2 linked regions of the Caenorhabditis elegans genome follow. The protein of the gene in region 1 interacts with the protein of each later gene in a pairwise test. Each region holds a gene or a part of one and is shown on either strand. Other genes may lie near its edges. The genes, in order: cpg-1 and lrx-1.

Region 1 (4,650 bases):
AGAAAATAAAACAAAATCCAGGTTTTTGGCGATAATTGATTAAATTTATATTCAAAAGCTAATAACTCTATTATTTATTTGGTTCCTTTTGCACACCTCCCCACGACCTAGTCCCAATTTTTACAAGTCTAGTTCTTTGTACAAATATCAAAACATCGCCAGGATATATTTTTAAAAAATCAAAAAAGATGTTCTTACCTCTTTCTCTCTCACCACCTGGAGACAATATTTAGGTACCGTGTAGATCAATCTTCCCCCGGCTCTCAATTCCCCAAGTTTTCACCTTCTGTTTCTTTCTTTTAATGTTTATTTTACTAAAATGAAATATTGCACCTACGATTTGTTCGAGAGGAGTACACGACCGAGAATTCAAAAAACTAATTTCCGCGCGAAATTCAAATTCGATAGACGCAGAGGTTGATTTTTGGATTTTTTATGCTCCAAAACTGACTTTTGAGCGAATATATCAAATACAGCTACATCAACTTATTTGGAAATCTTTCAGCGTGCTGGATACACCTCTAAATAGTCAAATTCTATTAAGACCCTCATTAAGACACAGTAAGAATTAGACAGGCACAAGCATTTTATTTTAGTTGCATGCAAAGTATATAATATATTACAGGTTAGTTGTGATATGGGTAAGTAATATGCATTGGGTGTATGGCACTGGGATGAGTAGGCATTTGATAGATTACTTCTTTCAGTAGTACTGAACCGTCGTTTGATGACACTCGGCGATTTGATCGGCTGGAGCGCAACGAGCTTGCTCTGGGGAGAAGAACAATCCGTTCTCGCAGATGAAGATTGCCTCTTGCCCATTGACGCAGTTCTTGTAGTGTTGAGAGCATGGCTCGATTGCAGTGGCTCCCTCGACACAAGCTGGGACTTCTGAAAATTAAATGTTAGGTTAATTTATTCGAAAACTAGAAATATACCTGTGGTAGTTTCAGCTGGAACGGTAGTGGTTGGCACATCAGCAGCGGTAGTGCTTTCGACAACAATTGGAGCGTAACCGATAGTTGTGGTTGGGATATCAGCTGCAGTGGTTTCAACGACTTCTGACTCGTATCCGACGGTGGTGGTTGGAACTTCAGCTTCAGTTGTGGTCTCTTCAACTTCTGGTTCGTATCCGACGGTGGTTGTTGGGACGTCAGCGGCAGTGGTGGTCTCTTCGACGTATGGAACAGTTGTCTCAACGACTTCTGGCTCATATCCGACGGTGGTGGTGGTTGGAACTTCAGCTTCAGTTGTGGTTTCAACGACTTCTGGCTCATATACGGCTGTGGTTGATGGAACGTCGGCGGCAGTTGTCGTCTCTTCGACATATGGAGCGGTAGTCTCAACGATTTCTGGCTCATAACCGACGGTGGTTGTTGGAACTTCAGCTTCAGTTGTGGTCTCTTCAACTTCAGGTTTGTATCCGACGGTCGTTGTAGTCTCTTCAACATATGGAGCTGTGGTTTCGACGACTTCTGGCTCGTATCCGATGGTTGTTGTTGGAACATTCTGAAATAAATTTTTATGCAAACAATTTCTATATTTTCAAACTCACTTCAGCAGTAGTTTTCTCACTAGGATATCTGGCAACATAAGCGGCGGCAATTGGTTCGGCATAATCCTTAGTAGATGGAACATCCTCTGCAACAGTTGTCGTCTCCTCATATCCGTATCCATTGCTGTATGGCATCTCTCCAGAAGATTCAGGTGTAGTCTCATCAGCGGATCCCTCGTCGTTTCCAGATCCATTCGTGCACTCTGGAACATTCATAACGTAGTCACAAATGACACGAGCTTCGTCAAAGGCAAGTCGGGCTGGGCATTGCATTGGGATCAGGTATCCATTTGAGCAAGCGGTGTAGTGGTCACTGCACTCTCCGAATGAATAGAATCCGTCAGCTTTTCCAACACACGACTTGGTTACGGCAGAACGAGTGACTGGCTCATCGGCAGCTGGAGCACCAGTTGTGTACGGAACGATTGGAGCATATGGGCTGGCAGTAGTCTCCACTGGGACTGGAACATCTTCGGCTGGAGTAGTTGTCGAGTAATCGTCGACTGGAGCATATGCTTCTGTGGTGGTCTCTTCTGGAACTGTTACATCCTCGGCTGGAGTAGTCGTGGCTTCTTCGACTGGAGCATATGGATTAACAGTGGTTTCCTCAGATGGATAAGCCTCTTGTGTTGATGTCACATCTTGTGGAACTCCACCACACTGTGGAACGTTGTACGAATATTCGCAGGCGACGATACGAGGATCATAAATGAGATCGGCTGGACAATCCATAATTCTCGAGATTCCTGAAAATTAAATATTGTTTTGGAATAGGGACTTTTTTCTAGTTTAACATACCTCCAGAGCAAGTCAAGAATTGTGGAGAACATCCTCCAATCGCGTAGAGTCCGTCTTCCTTCGTGGAACAGTCAGTGTCGATTGCCACAGCATCGGCTCCAGATACGAATCCATTATCAGCCCCAGAACCATCTCCACTTCCGTCCAAAGTTGTGGTCTCGAGTGGCAGATTCTCATACATTCCAGCTACACCGTACTGTGCGTAGGCCGATGCAACAAGGAATGCAAGAAGAACTGGCTTGAGAGTCATCCTACTGAAAATAGAAATTCAATAGGGTTTTTTAGAATATAGTTGAAAAGAAAAGCAAAAATGAGAAGAAAACAGAGAAACGTCGATAGACAAATGAGAATGAAGTTGCAAATGATTTCTCGAGTCCTCGTCGGCCAAAAATCATCGAAACAACATCAAAACAAATGTAAAAATCAAAATTTCCCGCAGTTTTTAGTTGGAGATCAAATAAAATTAGCTACGGTCGCTGCGAAAAATTGTTGCTGGCGCGTTTCGCGTGCTTGCGCGATATTTACGAGGTTATTTTTTGCACTCGTGTACTGTATAAAATTAAAGGCGCGTACACAAAATATTTTCAAAAATTAAATTCTCGTGCCGAGACCCAACCTGCATTAGATTGGCAGCGCCTTTAACTTGTTTTTGTGTTTTTTTTTGCGAAAAATTATTTTTCGCTTTTTCGGAAATAAAATGAACAAAAAAAACGATAAAAATGCGAAATTTTTTGAATAATTTGGTCTTTTCTAGACTCATACGAGCAACTGGTTAACCTTTCAACGTGAAATATTTTAATTTTGATTATCAAAGAATAAGAAATCCAGTTTTTATTTTTTTATTTACAAATTTCCTTCTGAAAATCACAGGAAGCAACTATCCACTGAAAATCAAATCACCCAATTGCAAAATTTTCAATTACGATTTTAGAGGAACCGCTTAGAACACAACAACACTGAATAATTTATAAAATTTTCGAGGTTTTCCGTTCCACTAATCCGCGAACGACACGACACGTCATCACAAACGATGGCATTCTAAAATAAGATTAACATTGTGCCTTCTCATTCCATTTTTTAGACCCATAGTTCCCCCCTTTAGTCTAATTTTTTTGGTTTTCTTGAAAGGATTTAGTTCTTGCAAATTCTAAATACTAAATAATTCAATATTACTAAATTAGAAAAAAAGGAAATTTCACAGAATTATGTCACAATGAGTGTACAGCAACCAAAATATTATTGAAAATGATGCCTTACACGTATATTTTTCTTGGTTTCCAGATGTTTTCTTCTATGACTTTCAGGGTTTCAAATGACGCCGCTTGGATATCCTTTTCATGTGGTTTCCATCAAAATATTCTCAGATTTATTGTATCCTGCACAATTTTTATCTGAAAAAATGTCATTTTGATTTTTGAGACCGCTGAGACATAAAATGCTGATTCACTCTTCAATCTATTATCCCTAAATAAATCCCCTTATTTCTTGTTCTTTCATTTTTCCCCTTTTTCATAGCCAGGATTTTATGATTCTTAAGAACCAATTATTCGAATAGGACTTTGAAAAATGTAAGCATCTTATCCTGTGTTACAATTCTTTTCATTTCTGTAAATTGCAATTTAGACATCGTGTACTTCCCGGGAAGAAGTTTGAATTTTTTGCAGAGAATTTTACAGTTTAGACTAAATGAATTTATTTCATATTTAGTAGCTTTATATTTGTAAATCTAAAAAATTTCTTCCATCAGTTTCCAAAAATTATTTCGAATATTTTCACACTTCCAAAAACATTAACCATTTTTACCAAAATCGTCAAACTCTGTACAAAAAAATTAGGAATATACTTTCCTCGAGGGATTGAATCGGCAAAAACATTGTTTATTCCAAAACATTTATTGAAATAAACTGCATTGCTTTGATCCAATTAATCAGCTCCGGAATTTGAATATTGGTTGAAAACTAGGAAAGATATTTCCGTCAGGCACTTTGAAAATCTCTAATCTTTTCAAAAAAAAAAAGGAATGTTTTAGTCGTAGCCAAAAAAAAACTAATTACCTAGCACTTATATCCATTTGGCTATATATCTCAATAAAACACACATGATTAATCAATCCACCAAATTCTTAGAATTCCATTTACAAGTGTCATTTGTTGTTGAGAGTGGGGAAATCATTGAGAGAAAAACTAATTTGCAACTAGTAATATTCTTTGAAAACGTACATATGATCACATTGAAATATACCTTTTTCGTCGTATACATAGTAAAACTTTTTAATGTCAAGTAGGCACGTTTTCAAG
Region 2 (5,108 bases), on another chromosome or scaffold:
AAAATGGATTAGTCAATAAACTTTGAATCTAGATTATCCCTGGGGTCATGTGCACTGACAATAAAAAATAAAATTCGGAATTAGGATAGTTCGGATTTATTTAAATTGAAATTGACTTTGCGAAACTTTTCAAACAAAATTGATAGATTTTTTTCAAATCAGCCTTGTATTGGACCAATTATATAATTTGTTCAAAAATTGGCAAGACTTTGGTAAAACTTAAGAAATATTTGGTTTTGAGCGCGCCAAAAATTTTAAAAATTTTAGCTCAACTTTGTTCAAACTTCTGCCAACTTCTGATTCAATTTTTTGGACCAGAACTTAATGACAGTTAATGGTAGTTAATCAATGTTGGAACAAAAAATATTGAGTCGGAGACGGTCAATACGAAATGATCAATATTAAAAGTTCCAACTTCAAAAAATATGTGCATACCAGAATTCTGACTAATTTGCATTGTCTTCACACAAAGTGCATTATTCAAACGACAATGTGAGCTCATTGGTTTGACGAGAACTCTGTCCATGTATGATGTTGAGTTGATGCACTCCAGTGATATACATATTAACGGAAGTAATGTCAAAAGTGTGAAAATAGTAACAGAATATACGGAAATACTCATGAGTCTAACACTGGTTGACTTTCGGTGTCAAAGTTGAAAAGGGGTAAGAGTAACAAAAAGAAGAGAAAAAGAGAAACAGTAAACCTTGAAAAATAACCAGTCCCCACCCTTTTCGACCTCTTTTCCGTCAAATTTTCAAAGCGAAACTAATCGTTTTGTCAAATAATTTGAAAGAATATTTCAAGAAGCAATGACATTCATGTATTTATTTATAAATTAAGGGAAATCGACAAGAAGTTCAGCAGTATCTAGTAACAATATTTTTCATCAGATCCATCAGCACAATCTGTTTCTCCATTACACCATTGTAGACGTGTCACTGATTGTTTTTGATTCTCGCAGAGCAAATATTTTTGGCGTCCTTCTTGTTCTGAAATAACAAGTGTAGTATTCGTCAGTGTTTATTTGGACACTTGGCTAAAAATACTTTTTTTCCTATGTTTTTGTCTCGAACAAGAAAAAGTTCGCACATTGAAGTTGTGCCAAAATGTGTGGTTATAGTTAAGAAAGACATTCCAAATTGTATGTATTTCTATTAATGTTGCACTCCCAATGTTAGACTTTGACAATTAAATATCTCAGTTGTCTTTTCTCCTATTTAAAAATTGTCATTTGACAATTTTTTGAAAACTTTTTTCTATCGTTTGCAGTCAATTATTTATTGAAAAATATGTTCAATATCTTTAAATTGAACCGAGGTATAACCTTTTAAAGTGAAATAGTAGGATGCGATATTATTAGAGGAAGTACTGTACATTATTTCGCCACTTATAACTTTCCAGAGGTGTTTTCCGGGTGAGAAGAAGGGAGGCAGAAAAAAACTTACTACAATTCATTTCATCTTCTCCATTTAAACAATCTTTCTTTCCATCACAATGCATATCTAAATCCACACATGAAACACCTCCACGCGATGTTCCACAGACGAACTTTCCAATACAAGCTTTAATTACTTTGTTATAAAGTACATTTTAAAAAGTAAAAATTACTTGTATTTTTACTGCATCCAATTTCATCAAGATTCGATCCATCTTCACAATCATCAGCCACACCGTCACATCTTTTGTTTGCAGGAATACAATGTTCACTCTTCACACATGCAAACTCATCACGTGCACACGATGCTAAAGGTTTTCAATTTAATTGGCAATTGTTGTAATGAGTAACTTACGACAATTGTTCTCATCTTCCCCATCGGCACAGTCTGGGTGACCATCACAACGTTTGCTCACATGGATACAGGATTGAGGCATTGCACAACAAGCAAACTCATTTTCAGTACAGGTGTCTTTGATTGCTGCAATATCAAACACTATTTTATATTGGAGCTTTTTGTAAATAAATATATTTTATAGATTTCGAGAAAAAATCGATGAAATAATTAAGTTTCCATAAAATCAAAATCAGAAAATTGCAGATTTACAAACTTTCAAGCGCACCTCATGGTGCATCAACGCCATATGAAATTTTATACATACTCTTAATTGAATGACTTACTACAGTGCATGACATGATCGTATTCTGGACAGAATTTAATAGCATTCTTGTGATTACAATTTTCAGTAGACTTATCAAATGCTTGATCTTCGGACATACACGCCAGAGGAAAAGTCTGGCCAATTGAACACTGAAAATATGAAAGAAGTTCGGAATTTCAGAAATCTATTGACTGTAGAAATATAAATATTGATAGCATACAAATAAAAATAGCTTATTTCGTGCATACAATAAAGATAAGTTTCAATACTTTAAATTATACATTTGTTCAACTATTTCTGTATTTCAGAAAAATAATTTCCAAAAAATTACCTGGAAGAAAACATGAGAGCATGAAGTGTTGTATACAAAATAATCAATCCTTTCTAATCCATATTGTGCTAGTACATCATCTGGGAATTCTCGTTTATCACAATAGTTAATTGCATAGCTGTTGTCTGGTTTTTCTGGAGCTTGAGTTTGAGGCATTGGTGGTGGGATTGTACCAGGTTCAACGATTCCAGATCCACCAAGTGGAAATACAGGGTTCACAACTTTAAATTGAGGTTCTTCAGTTTCATAAATGTCTACACTATCCACATCTGGTTCGACTACATCCTAAATATTGTTTCTTGATATTCTGGTAATGTAAACAAATATAGACCTATCCTCGGCCCTGGCCCAAGCCTTTATAACTTACAATATTTGGATATGGCTGCTGAACAGTATGAATGCTTGATTGAGGATTTGGAACGTAGCCTCCAGAACCAGACGAAGCACTAGGTTGTACATATGGATAAGGCTGCTGGAAAATATTTATACAATTCACTAAAGAAAAACGATTGTTTTGATTTTTTTCAAAATTAAGTTTTTAAATCGTCTGTGAATCCAATTGGAATCTTTATGTTGCCTAAAACCATAATGATTTTTTGTGCGATTTTTTGTCAAAATTAGGTCTCGATACGACAGAAATATTTTAAATACGGTGATTTTAAATAGTACTGTAGTGCGACTCATTTCACAATTTTTTCGATTTTACATAAATATTTTCCTTGTAGCTCATACCGATTTATATGTAAATACGAAACAAATAGTTAGAAATAAAGCATTAAAATCGGAACGAACGAGGAAAAATTGAAAAAAAAACTTGAACTTGAACTACAGTACTCCTTATAGGTGCAAATCCCTTGGCGAGCCCTTCATTTGAACAATATCTTGGTCGTGGTGAGACCCTAAGCATTAGAAACTTTGAGAAAGAGAAATAAGAACAAATGCTACAAATTTTTGAACAGTTCACTGTACCTGCTGAGTTGCTGTGCCATATAGATCCTGTGGAAGAACCGGTTGAACGGCTAGAAGAATGAAAAATATGGACGTTAACCATGCCATGATTTGCAAAATGATTGGCAATCAAATTTACCGGAACAGATCGAGAGAATGGATGAGCAGATGATAAAGATGGTGGAACTTGATGTTGCTGCCCACTGAAGACTGTAGCTGAAGAAGCACAAGTGTCGTGTGTGCACTGGACTTTCTTCTTTTTCAATTGTTTGTGTTCTTTTCTATCGCTAAAGAAGCTTTTCGCGCTGTTGGGGGCTACTGGTGGTGCGCGGCAACTGATCGCCACTTCAAGCTGACTGACTAGTGGTCACTTGTCACTTGATACGTTCCCACCTTGAGAAACAACACAGGAGCAGACAATAATGAAGCAAAAAAGCAAAAAAAAAAAGTGACACGATGTTAGGACACGAACTTGGTTATAAAAAAGGATTCATAGTATATACATCAAGAATTGAGATTTTATGAAAATAATTAATCTATTCATCTTCTCCATGATGTGCTCGACGAGTGCTCCCAGGACAATGTTCGATCATATCTTCTGGCGAGGAAAAGTTGGCTCCGCACCAAATACAATAGAAGTGACCATCTCGAAGATAATTGTTGATAGTGGAAAGTCTGAAATAAACGCATATTTAATACTATTGTCGGTTTGGATAAATAACGCTCATTGAAACCTTATCTACAAAACAAAAACTTACGCTTCTTCTAAAATTTCCGTTGACATTGTGAAATCATAATTCGGATCTTCTGGAGCTGCTAAACCATTTGAGTACTTATATTCTTCATCTTCTTTTTCAACTTTTTTATGGTAAGATGTAGTTTCCTCTTGAGCAACTTTATAACTTCTCCAAAACCACGAAACACTGGGAACTTTTTTTCCAATTCGATGATCCAACTCTTCGCACACCTTTCGACAAGATCTGATGTCTTTGACTAATTGCTTTGAGTTGGCATCAAGCTTCCGCCGTTTGGAATAGTCATCGATCAGCTCTTCATGCTTTGCCGCTTGTTCTTTCATTTTTTGCATTACAGCCTCAACTCGTTCATTGCGTTCTTGAACTGCTTCAACCTCGTGCCCAAGTCCCTTCCTATTAGCCTTGATATCGACACCAATTGGTTCCGTAATTCGAATTTCGTCTTCTCTTTGCTTTCCCAATGTCATACCAGGTTTGAATCCCATTTTTGCCATCAATGCAAATCCTTTCGATTCGTGGCTAATCGGTTTTGCGAGCGCCTCGTCGCGACGTTCTTTTTCTGAAATTTATTTGGTAAACTACAAAAATAATATACTACGATTTACAAACCTCGCTCAGCATGACTAGTTGGCCTTTTTGGTTTAAACGTGTCTCTGGACTCTTCAAATCTTGAATTTATTTGTAGTTCTCGCTTGTGAGCTCTAGATTTTGCAATTCCAACTGGTTGTTCACTAACTCCTTGGAGAATTTCAGCAGACATGTAGTCATCCTCATCGTCAGACATTCTGATCTTGAATCGAAATTTTTTATGAATAAGGTTAGCTTTTAACAAGAAGAAAGAAACAAAAGCGTAGCAAAAAACGCATTAGAATATTGAAACAGTTAGAAAATATTTTTCATTTCACATCGGCCGATGCATCGGGTTCATCTCGTAAAATATAAAACATGAGGTAACAACATTTGGAAACTCGGGA

Evidence for each region.
Region 2: the proteins of cpg-1 (region 1) and lrx-1 interact in a two-hybrid assay, tested with the Caenorhabditis elegans proteins (one large-scale study listed by BioGRID).

The regions. Positions count from the first base shown.
Region 1 is NC_003281.10:4,487,316-4,491,965, reverse strand, and holds cpg-1 (Chondroitin proteoglycan 1), read right to left. Parts: upstream 2,608-4,650; 5' UTR 2,604-2,607; coding exon 2,354-2,603; intron 2,302-2,353; coding exon 1,556-2,301; intron 1,510-1,555; coding exon 939-1,509; intron 892-938; coding exon 704-891; 3' UTR 574-703; downstream 1-573. UniProt on the Caenorhabditis elegans protein: Required for polar body extrusion during cytokinesis in embryo development. Affects cortical granule size. Has roles in meiotic chromosome segregation, osmotic barrier function and polarization in conjunction with cpg-2. Binds chitin.
Region 2 is NC_003283.11:12,251,157-12,256,264, reverse strand, and holds lrx-1 (LRP X(cross)-hybridizing), read right to left. Parts: upstream 3,581-5,108; 5' UTR 3,488-3,580; coding exon 3,401-3,487; intron 2,904-3,400; coding exon 2,799-2,903; intron 2,717-2,798; coding exon 2,432-2,716; intron 2,250-2,431; coding exon 2,120-2,249; intron 1,920-2,119; coding exon 1,794-1,919; intron 1,747-1,793; coding exon 1,612-1,746; intron 1,566-1,611; coding exon 1,449-1,565; intron 993-1,448; coding exon 871-992; 3' UTR 815-870; downstream 1-814. Other genes in the region: T04H1.12 (Activin_recp domain-containing protein), read right to left, coding at 436-622; T04H1.5 (G patch domain-containing protein 11), read right to left, coding at 3,916-4,054, 4,138-4,693, 4,744-4,918.